Linked DNA regions of Saccharomyces cerevisiae S288C. Changing the gene in region 4 together with the main gene of any one other region gives a genetic interaction. Each region holds a gene or a part of one and is shown on either strand. Other genes may lie near its edges.

The links.
Region 1: mutations in RTG1 (region 4) and GCN20 together harm fitness more than expected from each alone (negative genetic interaction), as found in Saccharomyces cerevisiae (3 studies listed by BioGRID).
Region 2: mutations in RTG1 (region 4) and GCN1 together harm fitness more than expected from each alone (negative genetic interaction), as found in Saccharomyces cerevisiae (4 studies listed by BioGRID).
Region 3: mutations in RTG1 (region 4) and GCR2 together harm fitness more than expected from each alone (negative genetic interaction), as found in Saccharomyces cerevisiae (4 studies listed by BioGRID).

Annotation. Positions count from the first base shown.
Region 1 is NC_001138.5:160,473-165,246, reverse strand, and holds GCN20 (putative AAA family ATPase GCN20), read right to left. Parts: upstream 2,760-4,774; coding exon 501-2,759; downstream 1-500. Other genes in the region: ubiquitin-specific protease UBP6, read right to left, coding at 1-180; FAR7 (Far7p), read right to left, coding at 4,047-4,712. UniProt on the Saccharomyces cerevisiae protein: Acts as a positive activator of the GCN2 protein kinase activity in response to in response to low amino acid, carbon, or purine availability.
Region 2 is NC_001139.9:129,626-134,586, forward strand, and holds the start of GCN1 (Gcn1p), read left to right. Parts: upstream 1-1,899; coding exon 1,900-4,961. Other genes in the region: D-serine ammonia-lyase DSD1, read left to right, coding at 258-1,544. UniProt on the Saccharomyces cerevisiae protein: Ribosome collision sensor that activates a translation quality control pathway when a ribosome has stalled during translation. Directly binds to the ribosome and acts as a sentinel for colliding ribosomes.
Region 3 is NC_001146.8:264,426-268,687, reverse strand, and holds GCR2 (Gcr2p), read left to right. Parts: upstream 1-2,157; coding exon 2,158-3,762; downstream 3,763-4,262. Other genes in the region: mRNA-binding protein WHI3, read left to right, coding at 1-1,080; NNR1 (NADHX epimerase), read left to right, coding at 4,235-4,262. UniProt on the Saccharomyces cerevisiae protein: Transcriptional activator required for the expression of glycolytic genes. Enhances the CT box-dependent transcriptional activation of a RAP1-GCR1 complex. Required for GCR1 phosphorylation.
Region 4 is NC_001147.6:201,485-204,396, forward strand, and holds RTG1 (Rtg1p), read right to left. Parts: upstream 1,035-2,912; coding exon 501-1,034; downstream 1-500. Other genes in the region: histone deacetylase HST1, read right to left, coding at 1-395; bifunctional DRAP deaminase/tRNA pseudouridine synthase RIB2, read right to left, coding at 1,212-2,912. UniProt on the Saccharomyces cerevisiae protein: Required for a novel path of interorganelle communication between mitochondria, peroxisomes and the nucleus, thereby maintaining a functional metabolic interaction between the tricarboxylic acid and glyoxylate cycles.

The DNA.
Region 1 (4,774 bases), on a different chromosome or scaffold from region 4:
TTTAATGGACTCTTCGCCAGACAAGCCACCTTTAACCATGTATTTTTGGCGGGCACTTGGGACTTGGGTCAATTCCTCTGCTTTGCTTTTCAAATCTGCTGAAGTAGCATCAGTGGAAAGTGTTATTGGGTAAACTTTACCAGAATGTCTAATATTGAACTCAAACGTTTCTCCGCTCATATTTTAACACAAGGATAGGTAGGGCTAATTTCCTTATTTTTATATCCTCTTAGAGAACGAAATCTCGTATTTCAATTGCACCAATTACTTGCAGTGGCAAAATTCGAAAAGCACTTCACCCTTCTTGTAGATTTTATGTTTTATATTAGCCACTACTTTTTTACGTAAAAAGTGATACATATACCAATGACCCAGAATGCCCAGTTAGGTCAATTAGATTCCAATACAAGTAGTCAAAAAAAAAAAGTATCATGGGGCTATGAATGCATACTTAATTTAGGCTTCTATGGAAAATATATTCTGAGGTGCTTCCTAAATAATCAATGCTTTTTAACCACACCTGCAGCATCAGCAGACTGCAAGATGTAATCTCTATAGTCGTAAATTGTACCTTCGAACCTCTTGACAGTACCTTGCTCTGAAACCCAAATCTCTTTACAAACAGAGTCAATAACAGAGATATCATGGGAAACCATTAAGACACCACCGTTGAAATTTTTCAAGGCTTCTACCAAAGCGTCTAGACCAGTGGTATCCAAATGGTTAGAAGGTTCATCCAGAACCAAAATGTGTGGATTATTTAAACACAATGCAGCGAATGCTACACGAGATTTTTGACCACCGGATAATAATTGCATCTTTTGTAGACCCAGGGTACCAGTGATACCAAATGAACCTAGATGACGTCTATACTCTTCATCAGTTTTACCTGGGAAGGATTTGGACATCCAGTCCACTGCAGACGTGGTCAAATCCATAGAATCCACATGATGTTGAGTGAAGTAGCCTATACGTAATCTTGGGTTTCTTGATACAAAGCCTTTTAGTGGTCTTAACTGCTCCATCATAATCTTCAACAGTGTAGTCTTACCACAACCATTGGCACCTACAAGGGCAATTCTGGAATCCATTTGAACGTCCAGGTTAACATCTTTCAATAATAGGTTGTTTTCATCATAACCAAAGGAAACGTCTTGCAATTGGATAATTGGTGGAGACAATTTATCACATTCAGGGAATTTGAAATCAATGGTTTTGTCTTGTTCAGGTGGCTCCAAAACGGGCAATTTTTCCAATTTCTTAATTCTTGATTGAGCTTCCTGTGATTTGGCAGCATTGTATCTGTATTTGTCAATAAACTCTTGCAAGTGCTTTCTGTAAACCATTTGGTTATCATACTCACGTTGAGCATTCTTTCTACGTTCCTCCTTTGTGGTGTAAAAGGTATCGAAATCTTGGCCTCTGTAATAGTCTAGTCTTTCGTTGTGTTGATAAATGATATCTGTAGCCACTTCATTCAAGAATGCACGGTCGTGAGAAACTGTCAAAACTGTATTTGGATATGTTTTCAAATACTCTGCTAAATAAGCGATGGATGGCACATCCAACATATTGGAAGGTTCATCTAACAACAAAAGATCTGGTTGACAGAATAAGGCTCTTGCCAAGGACAATCTCATTCTCCAACCACCGGAAAAGGAATTAGTGGGTTGTTGCTGTGCCTCCGTACTGAACCCCAAACCATATAAGATTGATGCTGCCCTAGCTTCAGCCTTGTCAGATTCCATATCGACTAATTTGTCAGAAATCTGTATCAAATGGTTATCCAAGTCTTCTCTTTCATTGTCCAATTTTTTAACTTCTAAACTGTCTTCTTCGAATTCCTGTCTTAATACATCCATTTCCTTTAATCTTTCATTGATCTTGGCTTCTTCACTTAATAGTTGTTTTCTCCAAACGTCTGCATCCAGCACACTTTGTAAAGCCTTTGTATCATCACCTCTTAACTCTTGTTCCACGTGTAAAATCGAAACATGTTTGGGGACGTTCAGCTCTCTTCTAGATAGAGCCCTTAACAAAGTAGATTTACCAATACCATTTTGGCCCACAAGACCATATCTGTGACCAAAACTTAGAGTCAATTGGGCGTTGGACAAAATTCTTTGACCGTCACCAACGTACAAGTCGAAAGTGTCAATATGGATATCCTTGGATTTACCAGCGGATGAACCGAATTCTAAAGGGTTGATTTGCAAAAAGAAAGAATCGTAATCCTCCTCCTTTTGGTCATTGATCAATTTAGAAGCCTCGTATTTAACAAATTTGTTATTTCTCTTGGCGACTTTCTTTGCGATCTTTTGTTCAGCCTTGGCCAGTTTTTTCAAATCAACTCTTGTTTCCATCTTTCTACCAGTATGTTCGATGTCACCGTTCACACCCAGCATGCTTAATGAGACGTTGATATCGGATTTACTGTTATGACTCTTTAAGACATTAATATCAAGTAATCTCTTGGACGTATCACCGGTCAATTCCAATTTGGCTTCGTTCTCCTTTAGTTGAGTAGTCAATTGCTTCAAAATACTTTCCGATAGTTCTTTAACTTTAGCCTTTGACGCACCCGCATCAATCAATAAATCGGACACAAATTGCACTTCAGTGGACAAATCTACCTGCTTACTTTGAACAGCATCAAAAGTTATTCCGGACAAGTGGTTAAAGTAGCCCACTGCGTAATCCGTGACGATAGGGTCAATACTAGAAGCAGCTTTTCTCACTTGCGAACCGATGCTTGCCATTTCAAAAAAGTTATTTACCTTTTGTGCTATGAATCGAAGTTAACGTTTTAGCGCTTCAAAACGACTAGTCTTAGCTAGCTTACTGCAGAATATATATTTCTCTTTTCAAATGTCTTTCATTTTCTACTAGATCTAATAATACGAAAAATTTTCAGGAACAAAAAAATAAAAATCAGAAAAAAAAGAAACTGCGCAAGCCCGGAATCGAACCGGGGGCCCAACGATGGCAACGTTGGATTTTACCACTAAACCACTTGCGCTTGTTTTCTTGTGAAAACTATCCTTGGATAAATCAATAATAATGTTTGTAACTTCTCTAACCAATTTGAGATGTAACGAATGATAATTAGTGTGTTGGAATAAAAATCCACTATCGTCTATCAACTAATAGTTATATTATCAATATATTATCATATACGGTGTAAAGATGATGACATAAGTTATGAGAAGCTGTCATCGAAGTTAGAGGAAGCTGAAGTGCAAGGATTGATAATGCAATAGGATAATGAAACATATAAAACGGAATGAGGAATAATCGTAATATTAGTATGTAGAAATATAGATTCCATTTCGAGGATTCCTATATCATCGAGGAGAACTTCTAGTATATCCTGTATACATAATATTATGGCCTTTATCAACAATGGAATCCCAACAATTATCTCAAAATTCGCCAAATAGTCAAGTATTATAGCCTTGATCAATAATGGGATCCAATAATTATTAAACTATTCACCCAATCTTCACAGATCTTCTAGTCAACGAGGGAAAATCCATATTTCTAAATAGTATTATTTATCCTTGCACTTCAACTTCCATTGAAGCTGATGATTGTTTCTTAATTTTCATGTTATCTTCTGGCAGCGTATATGAGATTATACTAATTATATGAAAATATATTAATAGTATAGATACTAATCGGTAAACGATAATCGACTCTCATCACAACAAAATGCTTTTGCAAATATTGAGGAAATTATATATGTTTATTAAACATATATATCCTGTGTATTTATAGAGGCTTTCCTCCAACATTTTATTATTTTTGGCAAATAATACAGTAGCTTAGGATATCTTACGCACGCAACTGCAGGAAAAGAACGTCAAGACATTCTGTGAGTTGTTTTCCCGCAAAATGTTCCACCGTCGTTACTTTTTCAATTTCATAAACATATATCAGAATGGAAAAAGCCTTCATAAATGAGCTTCGAATTTTTGCGCAATCTCGAATATAAGAAGCATGTATATTTGTCATCTTGCTTTCATTGGAAGCAAAAGGGCAAAGTTTCAATCTTGTGCATGTAACCTCAGTAGTAATCTATAAGTGTGAGATATATCTGTCAATTTTTGCAGACCATTAACATTTTCCAAATACATCTTGAACTCTTCATCTTCGAGGGGAATTGTCTCCGTCTGGAATTTCTGCCTAATCAATTTGATAGTCTCTTTATGATGCATTAGAATGTTTCCTCTTAATTGGGCGACAATGTAATTTAAAGAGTCTTCGGAGTAAGACAATAAATCCATGGATTCAAGGGTTACCTGCTTGGATTCCTGTAAACTTTTCCGGAGCATTGAATTTTGGCGCTTCAACACTCCTAGCATAACGTCATCTTTCGCATTTTCATCCAGATTGTTGCTTAGTTGCTCTTTCTCAGTAATAGGAGCTTTCCCTCTTTGTTCTAGAAATCTATTAAATAATGCAATATTTTCCGTGGTATCGTGAGGTTCTTCAGATGTCTCATACTTGTTTAAGCTTCCGGATAATATGTCTATGTTCCTTAGTATTTTCGCCTTTTCTGCTTGATTTTCCCTCAACTGTTTCACTAGCTTGTTAACTAACAAGTACATATGATTCAAGTTTTCTGCTTGAGGAGACATATATACTTGCTGCTGCTGCTGCTGCTGCTGTTGTTGTTGTTGCATTGACAAAACGTTGATTTGGTCACTCATATCTAAACCTTGGCTTGAACTTCTTGTAGAATCAATATGTATTACTTCCCATATATGTCGTA
Region 2 (4,961 bases), on a different chromosome or scaffold from region 4:
ATAACCAAATGTCGGAACATAACTAGCAATACAATTTTTACATCGGGCCGAATCCGTCGGAGAGTGATAAGACGGAGTTAAAATATCTCTCAAAACCATGGAACAACAATATGTGTACATATATAAAGCTTTTGAGTGAAAAGATTTCTTTCCACTATTTACTGTCAATTTTATTCAACACGAAAGGGAATTAAGTGCACATAAATACTTCATTTCTTGATAAGGAAGTATAATATTGCTCCTAAGAAGAGTTTGAAATGAGCGATGTTCTATCTCAATATAAAGGGTGCTCAGTCAGAGATTTACCCACACCCAATTTCGTTATTAATGAAGAAAAATTTGATAAGAATTGTACGACAATGTTGAACAACGTTGAAAAGCTCAGCCAGGAATGTGGCGTACCAATCAAATTTCGTGCACACGTAAAAACGCATAAGACAGCAAAGGGAACTTTGAAACAATTGGGCCACGGACTTCCATTGGCTAAACGCACTACAAGAGCCATATTAGTATCAACTTTGAAAGAAGCAGAAGAACTTCTTAATTATCAAGATAGACAATGTTCGGATTATATTGACGATATAACATATAGTTTACCCTGTTGCGTTCCAGAGTTTATTCCTCTTTTGAGCAATTTGTCAAGAAGGGTGAATAATTTTCAGGTTTTTGTTGATAACATTGAACACTTGGAGAATTTAAAGAATTTCGGTAGGCCTGCTTCCGGCAAGAAATGGTCGGTTTTTATCAAGGTTGATATGGGGACTAAGAGGGCAGGTCTTGCTTTCGACTCTCCAGAATTTTTGAGTCTTTTAAAAAAACTGACTTCCTCAGAAATTAAAGAAGTAATTGAGCCATATGGGTTTTATGCTCATGCCGGACACAGCTACTCTTCAACCTCGATCAACGACACTCAGAATCTTTTGATGGAAGAAGTGAAAGCAGTCAATTCTGCCGCTAAAGTTTTGTGCTCTGTGGATCCTCAGTTTGATCCTTCTAAATTAACACTTTCTGTGGGCGCTACTCCGACTTCCAATTCTTTGAAACTCGATAATAAAAGTACCCTTGTTAAATTCATTACTACTCAATTAGTTAGTACGCTTGAAATCCACTGCGGTAATTACTGCATGTATGACCTGCAACAGGTGGCAACAGGCTGTGTCCAAGATCACGAATTGTCTGGTTTTGTATTAGGAACAGTACTATCATCTTACCCTTCTAGAGGTGAATTGTTGAGTAATACAGGTGTAATGTGTCTAACGCGAGAAGCATCCTCAATAAAAGGGTTTGGAATATGTGCTGATTTGGAACATGTGTTAAAATCCGAGAGTTTCAGTAGGGAATGGTATGTAGCAAGGGTCTCTCAAGAACACGGGATACTGAGGCCAATAAGAAACTGGAACGAAACTACTCCATTAAAATTAGGCAGCAAAATTGCCGTCCTTCCTCAACACGCTTGTATCACAATGGGACAATTTCCATATTATTTCGTGGTAAACAGCGAAGGCATTGTCAACGATGTTTGGTTACCTTTTCAGAAATGGTAAGCTCTCTTTTGTCGTTGGTTATCACTCTCATCAAAGCATCTCTGTGTCTATGTAATTGTGTATCTATTTATAAATAGTAACTAAGAGTAAGGTTGTACACAGGTTGGTCTAAACACCCTCTTGTTAAGCTTCCGCATTACCTGCGAGCTGGTAATTGTAATACAGATTTATTTGTTGATATAATGCTATGAAATTTCAACTACCGTCATTGAGCTTCTCAATAAAGTCGTTACGTACGAATGAAAAATTTGAATAATTTAAACCTTCGAAAAGATCTTTGAGTTGTACTTATTAAACCTGAAGTAGATCATTAAGACAAACAAAGCTCTGACTGACACCAATAACTCCTACAGTGATGACAGCTATCTTAAACTGGGAAGATATATCCCCTGTTTTAGAGAAAGGCACCCGCGAATCACACGTGTCTAAAAGAGTTCCCTTTTTGCAAGATATATCACAATTAGTTCGTCAAGAAACATTGGAAAAACCTCAATTATCTGAAATTGCTTTCGTTTTATTGAATACCTTCACGATTTACGAAGACAATAGGTCTAAAAGTTTGGTAACTTCAATATTGCTTGACATCTTAAATCTAGAGCCATGTCTCCTAGAAAACTTTATCCGATTCATTTCCGACGTGGTCATCAGTAATCCGGCTACCAAAGCAGTCGCTGATTACCTTAATTTGTTAGATTGGATTAATTCTTTCTTGATTTTTGTGTCGCATAATTCTAATTTATTTGAAGAGTACATTCCAAAATTGTTGGTCGCCCATTCTTATGCAACGTTCGGTGTGGAAACTATTCTTGACAATCAAGAAGAAGGCAAGAAATCCCAAGATAAGCAGAACCAGCATAGAAAGAGAATTCGTTATTGCATTTTCCAAACAACGGTCAAAGCATTCCTTAAGTGCTTGAAGGATAATGACGACAGTATTTCCTTCATGAAGATTTCAATTAAAACTGTACTGGAGAGCTACTCTAAGCTGAAGATAACCAGTGTTGGAGTAGTTATGATAATGGGTGCACTAACTCAGGCTGCACTTCAGTTATTATCGAGGCAACCAGCTCTGCACTCCGTTTTAAAGGAAAATTCTGCAGAGAAATATTGCGAATATTTGGGCAAAGAAGTGTTTTTAGGCAAAAACCCACCATCTTCCTTTTGCTTAGAGATTGGTTTGAAGCCATTTTTAAAAGAATTTGTTTCACAAGAGTTATTCATTAAGTTTTTCATCCCTAATATTGAAAAAGCAGTTTTAAGATCTCCTGAGGTTGGTTTTTCGATTTTATCTGAGTTATATGCTGGTGTTTCTCCTGAAAAAGTAAATCTCTTAAATGCCTTTGCTTCCTCGAAACTGATTAATCAATACTTCTCGTCATTTAAAAGCTCAAAAGAGGTAGTTAGATCCGTCTCGCTTCAGTCTATGATAATCTTATTGAGAAAAATTTCCAATACTGACACTACCTTGGAAGATTTGACCAAGCTTATTGACGAAATATTTAAGAACATCAAATCGAACTTAAATGCAGATTACAAATCACTTATTTCCAAAATTCTCATAGAAATACCCTTAACGCACTATGAGGTTTCAGAAAAAATCTGCAAAGGGCTGTCCCCATATATTGGTAAAGAAGGTAATGAAGCAGCCTTGACTCTAATGCTTAACGCTTTTTTTGTTCATTATTTTAGTCTGGGCAAACCTATTGAAGACTTGGATAAAATTATATCAGCTGGTTTTGCAGATAAAAAACCTGCTTTGAAAAAATGCTGGTTTGCCGCATTTTTGAACAATTCCAATGCTGCCTCTGAAGAGGTGATTTTAAACTTTATAGACGGTTGTTTGGAATTTGTGAAAGACTCCATCATACATTATCAGACTCACGGGCATGCATGTATTCTAGCATCAATTGAATTTACAAACAAAATTTTGGCATTGGACAATACTGAGCTAAATGATCGTGTTATGCAGCTCATAGAAACCCTTCCTGAAAATTCTTCGATAGGTGATGCTATCTTAACTGCTGCATTATCAACAGAGCTATCCATCGAAAACCGTATTCATGCTGTTAATTTACTACAAGAATTGTTCTACAAGAAACCCGAATTTATTGGGTTTAGCGTGATTGATGCAATTGAAAGGAGAATGCGTGTCCAAGAATTAATACCTCAACAAAATACATCCTTTAAATATGTCACTTCTGTACTACTGGCCATTACGTCTGAGTTACCTGACAAGGAAGCCTCGATAAAGGTATTAATCAATGCTCTGGTCATAGCGCAATGGAATATTTTCAACATTAAGAATGGCTGGGCTGGTTTAGTTTTACGTGCAAGGCTTGATCCAGCTGAAGTTGTCAAAGAACATGCTAGCGTTATCATGGAGAAGATTCTTGAAATCACAGGTAGTTGTGAATGGATAGATACAATTTATGGTGCATGCGGTTTGCAAGCAGCTGCCTATGCAGCATTTATTCAGCCTAATGAGTTCACACCGATCCTTTGTAAGACTATCGAAGCAGATTTAACCGCGGATGATTTCTCACGTTTATCTGAAGAGGACTTCGAAATTTTTGCAGGAGAGGAAGGTGTTCTGGTGGTTGACGTCCTGGAAGAAAGCATGAATAAGAAACTTTCCAATAAAAATTCTAAAGAGTACGAAACTCTAATGTGGGAACAAAAAATAAGGAAGGAGCAAGCCAAAAAGAATGTGAAAAAACTTTCAAAAGAGGAACAAGAGCTCGTTAATGAACAGTTAGCGAAAGAATCTGCAGTTAGATCACACGTTTCGGAAATTTCCACTCGTTTAAAGCGTGGTATTAGATTGGTATCTGAACTTTCCAAAGCTGCTTGCTTAGTCCAAAATGGCATCGCTACTTGGTTCCCCTTGGCAGTCACAAAGCTTTTGTACCTATGCTCGGAACCAAATATTTCAAAGCTAACAGAGGATGTAAATAATGTGTTCTTGCAGCTTTCTCAAAATGTCTCCGAGAGATTAGGTAATATCAGACTTTTCTTAGGTTTGGCGACTTTGCGTGTGCACAATGCTAATGGCATCTCGCAAGATTATTTACAAGAACCACTGGTTGAATTACTTACAAGAGTTCTTTTTAGGATCAAGTTCGTCTCCAACCAAGCAGCAATAGATTCCATCAGTTTGACATATATTTTACCATTGTTGATTAATGTTTTAGAAAAGGGTAAGGCGATTGCATTAAAGAATGCGGACAAGCCTGTTGTTAAGGCTGAGTTTGTTGAAGAAGATGAAGAAGAAGAACATCTGTTACTGGCCATGGAAATTATTTCTGTACACGCTGAAGCTTTTGAGGATCCTTCCATTCCGAGAATTTCCATTGTTGAAGTGTTACTATCTCTTCTATCTTTACCCTCAAAAGCGAAGATTGCTAAAGATTGTTTCAA
Region 3 (4,262 bases), on a different chromosome or scaffold from region 4:
TCTGTGGAATCAACAATTCAAACATCTGATATTGGCAAATCTTTCCTTTTGAGAGATAACACTGAAATTAATGAAAAGATATGGGGCACAAGCGGTATACCTTCCAGCATCAACGGTTACATGAGCACTCCCCAACCTTCTACGCCAACTTTAGAATGGGGAAATACTTCTGCATCCCAACATGGTTCTTCGTTCTTTTTACCCTCTGCAGCATCGACAGCCATTGCACCTACGAATAGCAACACCAGTGCCAATGCAAACGCCAGCTCCAACAATGGAGCCAGCAATAATGGTGCTAACCAGGCACTCTCTGCCAGCTCGCAACAACCAATGATGCAAATTGGTAACACGATTAACACTTCCCTAACCTCTTCAAATTCATTGCCTCCATACGGTTTAATGTCTTCTCAATCGCAGCACATTTCAAATATGGTAAACACCTCTGATATGAACATTACACCTCAAAAACAGAACAGATTTATGCAACAACCCCAACCAGAGCATATGTATCCTGTGAATCAAAGTAACACTCCTCAAAAAGTACCGCCCGCAAGATTAAGTTCAAGTAGAAATTCACACAAGAATAACTCTACTACCTCATTATCCTCAAATATTACTGGATCTGCCTCGATTTCTCAGGCTGATTTGTCACTACTAGCCAGAATTCCACCTCCTGCCAACCCTGCTGATCAAAATCCACCTTGTAATACCCTTTATGTAGGGAATTTACCCTCCGACGCTACTGAGCAAGAACTAAGACAGCTATTTTCTGGTCAAGAAGGCTTCAGAAGACTATCATTCAGGAATAAGAATACCACATCTAATGGTCATAGTCACGGACCGATGTGCTTCGTTGAATTCGATGATGTCAGTTTTGCAACCAGAGCGTTAGCTGAATTGTATGGTAGACAGTTACCTCGCTCCACTGTGAGCAGTAAGGGAGGTATCAGATTAAGCTTTTCAAAAAACCCACTGGGTGTTAGGGGCCCAAACAGCAGAAGAGGAGGCAGTGGTAACCCAAATCCTAATGTAAATATGCTTTCCAGTTACAATTCTAATGTTGGTCATATAAAAAACTAAAAAAATGGTTCCGCAAAAACCTGATTTCCTTGCATGTATCACATTATATGCATTGCTTTTCATCTTTCCCCCACTATAATAAGAATAATATTTTCTGTCGCATTTTTTCTTTTTCTTTTATTATTTGTTATAATAATATTTTCTAAACCGACTAATAATAAGAATAACATCGATAATACTTTATCTCTTCAATTACGTTAAATTATCTTTTTACTATTACATTACAACGTGCATATAACAGAAATTTTTTCTTTTTCTGTCTAACATTTGAATTGTACTATGAATTAAACCCGCCATCTTTTTTCTTAACTACCATTTTGCGAACTCCTATACCGCTTCTGCAACAACAAGAACTTTTATTTTCAATTTTAATGTGCCATTCATTCCATTTTGCTTGCGCTAATGTGAATAAGATTGAGAGGGAAAAGTCTCACTATCGAATATCGCTCTTTAGTGTGATTATTGTCATCAAAGCACCAAGTGCTTAGGTGAGGTCATATCCGACAAATGTTTTGAAGAGAGAATATCTTTTTTTTATGCTGCCAACTTTTATTCTTTCCTTGTTTAAAAAACTCTGCCTTTGGATATTCTCCCACTATATATATGTATTAGCCTTACTTTTATTCCAGAACTCATTTTTATAGAAGTATATATCGGTATCGACTTCAATGTAATATTTTCAACCCTATGCTACAAGAGCAGATTAAAAAAATATGGGCTACCAGTGGCAAGAACATATTTGATATTTCGAAGTTCTACTTTGTTTATGACCGAACTGATCAATTTTATGAATGTCTTTCAATGGAATCTCAATACGGGTAATAACGTCATATTTCTTATTTTTCTTGGACAATTTGTCCAAAATAAAATTTTCACGACTTTTCTCCTTCAAGTACCGCGACTTCTGCGATAGTTGTCCGTTAGACATAATAATCATTAACGCATCCATAAGGTGCTTGCGGTCTGTATTTGACTTTCTTCACATTCTTACGCCTAGACTGAATGGGAAAACAACCAAGAAACCAAAAAGGAACCTGAGAACACAAAGAGTATTTGACGAAAAGTTACACTCACATAATGCATCACCAAACTAAGTTAGATGTATTCATAATCAGAGCTTATAATTTACTGTCTAACGAGTCTGTCATTAGTGGTGCTTCCTTGCAGAGTGTTACAAACTCGCCACAGACGACAACGAACACGCCCTCAGGTATGGTTAACGGGGCGGTTGGAACAGGGATAGCTAATCCAACAGGGTTGATGGGGTCTGATAGCACACCTAACATCGATGAGATTATAACTAGCACTGGTAGTAATGCTCTGACGAAAACCAACTCAGATAGCGCTAATGGTACGCCGAATGGTAATTCAAGTTCTACCTCAGCCATTAGCAATGCAAGCAATCCTGCCACTACTGGTAATAATGCGAGCTCTAGTGCCACCTCAAATGGAATATATACGCAAGCGCAATATTCTCAACTTTTCGCCAAAATATCAAAACTATATAACGCTACACTATCATCTGGGTCAATTGACGATAGATCAACATCACCAAAATCGGCAATCGAACTATATCAAAGATTTCAACAGATGATTAAGGAACTAGAGCTGAGTTTTGACGCAAGTCCTTACGCAAAATACTTCCGCCGGTTGGATGGAAGGCTTTGGCAAATAAAGACAGACTCAGAATTAGAAAACGATGAATTGTGGCGATTAGTCTCAATGAGCATATTTACAGTATTCGATCCTCAGACCGGCCAAATTCTAACTCAAGGACGCAGGAAGGGAAACTCCTTAAATACATCAACTAAAGGCTCCCCATCAGATTTACAGGGAATAAACAACGGGAACAATAATGGGAACAATGGTAATATTGGAAATGGGAGTAATATTAAGAACTATGGAAATAAAAACATGCCAAACAACCGAACGAAAAAAAGAGGCACCAGGGTGGCTAAAAATGCTAAAAATGGGAAAAACAATAAAAATAGTAATAAAGAGAGAAACGGCATTACAGATACGAGTGCATTCAGTAATACAACAATAAGCAACCCAGGTACCAATATGCTTTTTGATCCATCATTGTCTCAACAGTTACAAAAACGACTGCAAACGCTATCACAAGATGTCAATTCTCGTTCGTTGACAGGATATTATACACAGCCAACCAGTCCTGGCTCAGGAGGATTTGAATTTGGTTTGAGTCATGCAGATCTGAACCCCAATGCTTCCAGTAATACCATGGGCTATAATACAATGTCCAATAATGGATCCCATTCGTGGAAACGAAGGTCACTGGGATCGTTAGATGTTAATACGCTGGATGACGAAGCGGTGGAAGAACTTTTGCAACTGACAAATACGAGTAAGAGGCAGAGGCCGATGACAACTGCAGCAGAGGGTGCGTTAATAAATGATGGTCCGGACACTAATTTAAACGCGAATAACACCCAAATGAAAGTTGATTTAAATCCTTCAAACAGCATGGGACCTATAGATACAGAAGCCGTGATACGCCCATTGAAAGAAGCTTATGACGCAATCATTTCTGAAAAAGGCCAAAGAATTGTGCAATTAGAAAGAGAATTGGAATTACAGCGCCAAGAGACGCAGTGGTTAAGGAAAATGTTAATTGAAGACATGGGTTGTGTTAGAAGTATGTTAAGGGATTTACAAAGATGACACGATAATAATGTTTAACATATATTGCTTTCTCTTTTAATTTTCTGGTGTAGATTGGCGGTATAATTAACTATTTAACAGTGACGTTTACTATCTTACTGTTTCTTGTACTCTTTTATAATGAACAGACGTTATTATATAACTACGAACTAATGATAATTCTTTTTACGTTATTCCTGATGTAAAGGATACAAAATGGGTTTCTTTATTTTGCAGCAGAACCGTAAAATTTACGCTACTTTTACCGTGGGTCCTCTTATTTGATTGTTTCCGTCGCTACGAGCGAACAAGGGGTGGAGACAATAGGGATGGTGAATATATACACATACGTTCATATATAAGAAAAAAACTCAAGAAGAATATCAAACGACCAGGATCCTTGCTTATATTATTGTCTGTTGCTGGGCCAACACATATTTTCATTTCAACACACCAATCTCAGGTATTAAAGAGAAATCATTGTAAGGTAAAAATGTCTACGTTGAAAGTTGTTTCATCAA
Region 4 (2,912 bases):
GAAGTGATATTAGAGTTTAACGCCATAAATAGTTCTTTATCTTTGACGTCGAATCCCAGCAATTTTATCATGAAATAAATGTAGATCGAGTTGACTTCCACTGGCAAAAAATATTCTAAAAAAGTTTTCAAATCGTTGTCCTTCAAAAACAGTCTTGCATTCATAACATCATCTTTAGTGATTGCAGGAAAGATGAATTTGCCCGTCACCTTATCCTTCCCGAGGATACAAGGGTACGTTAATCTCGTTTTCAGCTTCTTCGTAGCATTATTATCTGACTCTTCTTCTTGAGGTCTTTTCAACATTGTCATGGTCAGCTCTCCAACATGAAAGTATCGCCCTTGACTAACCACCAAAATAAAACTAACTATCCGTTGCATTAGCAATATGTTCATTTAGATTTTTTTTTCTCACAAAAACAACAAAAAAGAAGAGAAGTGTTCGTATCACTACCAACGAGGGTTATCACAACATAGCAATAGTGAGAGTCAGAAGTACTTTTAGCTACCATTACCGTACTCACCATACCCTCCGTACTCGAAGGAGCTCAACCTCTTTGCTGGCGGTCTTACTGAGTCATCATTTGTTGCGGCCAGCGGTCCCACGCCAATCCTGGACAGGGCGACTTCAGCGCTGGTGTTCTCTAAGTTTATATCGTTGACAATGGTGCCTGTCTGCTTGGCCAACTGAGTGGCCTTCACCATCAGTTCCACCTCCTCTCTGTTCTGTGTGTCCACTTGATTTTGTAGATGTGATATGTACTCTACCGCCTGTGTGAGAATTTGGCCCTTGTTGGGCTTTCCGTCCTTGGTCCCTGTACCTTTGGCCTTGCTGGACAACCCAAGCGCACCGGGAGTGGATTCACTTAACGTGTCATTGCTACCAGAATTGCCGTAATAATCTCTAAAGAAGTCTTTGGGAATGATACTCAATAGTTCTTGAATACGGTCGTTGATCTTATCTCTGCGCTTGCGGTCATTCTTGAAATTAGCACCGCAGGACCCAGGATCAGTGCCAGCTGGAATGCTGCTCATGTTTGGTGTTGTGCTTTCTTTTGGTTCACTATCTAGTGTTTTTTGTCTGTGTTGTGGTTGAAGTTAATTCCATTCTTTTTACTCAAAATTTTCGGTGGCGCCTTTTTCCGTTTCCAGTAATGAGTGGTTATTGTAGATATGATGTAAGATTACATGATAATATATATGCTAAATAGTCTAAGCTTTGTCGTCACTATTATCGTGGCCTTTGAAGGCAATGATGGTGCACTCCTCCTCGTAGCCTGGTATTTGTATGTAGTTCACACCGTGCGATTCCAGCTTGTTCAAACTTGTATTGTTTTTAACAAATGTATCGGGCTCCATAACCCCCACGAAGACAGTACCAATGGCACCTTGGGTGGCCAGGATTCTATCGCAGCAAGGCTCATTGCCACTTAGCCTGAAGGAACAGGGTTCCATGGTTGTATAGAGCACTGTTCCCATAGGGACTATAGTGGGACAGTTCGGGTGTAACTGCGAGTACTTTATCAAAGCACACTGTTCTGCATGAGTGTTTCCTGGTAGCTCTCTTGAATATCCTGTGGCAAGTACTTGAGTTCCATGAACAAGAACGGCACCAACACTAAAAGCAGTCTTTGTCGGGCCACACTTACCAGCTTCCTTAACGGCCATTTCCATATATCGGCGATGTGGCTCTAAGGCCCATTCAGGGTATTTTGTTCTATAACTCCAGAGAGGTTTTTGCGTATCCGAATTTCTTTCCAATGACTCGTACCGGAAGGCATGCAGCCAGAGGTCGAGATCATTAGTACCGGGATCTGTGTACATTTCAGCCTCGCATTCTTCGCACTGACGGCCAAGCAAGTATTCACCCTCGCTATGAGGATGAATCCAGCTCTCTGCAGGATTAGTCTTGCCAATAGCGTCTAGTTTCAGAACGATGTCATCATAGTTTTGAAGTCCACCGCGGCCCAAATCTGGACCCCAGATATCTGGGTTCGAGTATATAGGGTCATTTGCTATGGGAAATCCCAAGTACTGCAAATGGACTCTTATTTGGTGAGTTCTACCTGTCAATGGTTTACACTTTACAATACTCGTCTGTCCATCATAGCTAACCCTTTGGAAAACGGTCTTGGCATGTTTAGCGTTTTCATCGCTCATCTCGCAAACAGCGTTTAGTGCAACTTTAGGGTTAACAGATCTGACAGGCTTATCTACCTCTACTATACCTATAGGGAACTCGCCCTTCACGCGGGCTACGTATTCTTTGGTGACTTCCCTCGCTTTCATTTGGTCTCCCATTCTATCTGCACCTAATGGAGTCTTGGCTAAAAACATTAGTCCACTAGTTGGCTTGTCTAGTCTATTACATGGATGTACTGAATAACCTAGCTGTCTTTCTAGCATTTTTGTAATGGTATTGAATCTGTATCTGCCCGTTGGGTGCACTGGAATACTGCTGGGTTTATCAATGACAAGGATATCTTCGTCTTCAAACACAATATCTATTGGTTTAGATGTGACTGGCGGTTCATGTCGATGTACTTTATGTGTGATCAGATCACCGTCACGAATGATGGTATCAAGGTTTGCAGGTTCATCGTTTAAGTATACTTTTCCCTCTGCAATGGTTTTGGAATAATAGCTGGGCTCTCGATCCCTGAATTCGCTCACGAATACATCCACCAACTTACGATCTCTCCACCTCTCCTTACAGAAAGTTTTATAAGTGAAAAAATAAGGCTCAATCTTCCTTAAGGGTCCATCAATTGTCACTTCATAATCAGGGTCTGTCTTTTTAGTTTTGTGCCCATCGGTTTGAATAACTCTCAGTCTGAATCCACTCGCATCTTTGACTTTGGAACTGTTTTCGTTCCTATTATTATTCCTGTTCGCGAATTTTCTTAACTTCAC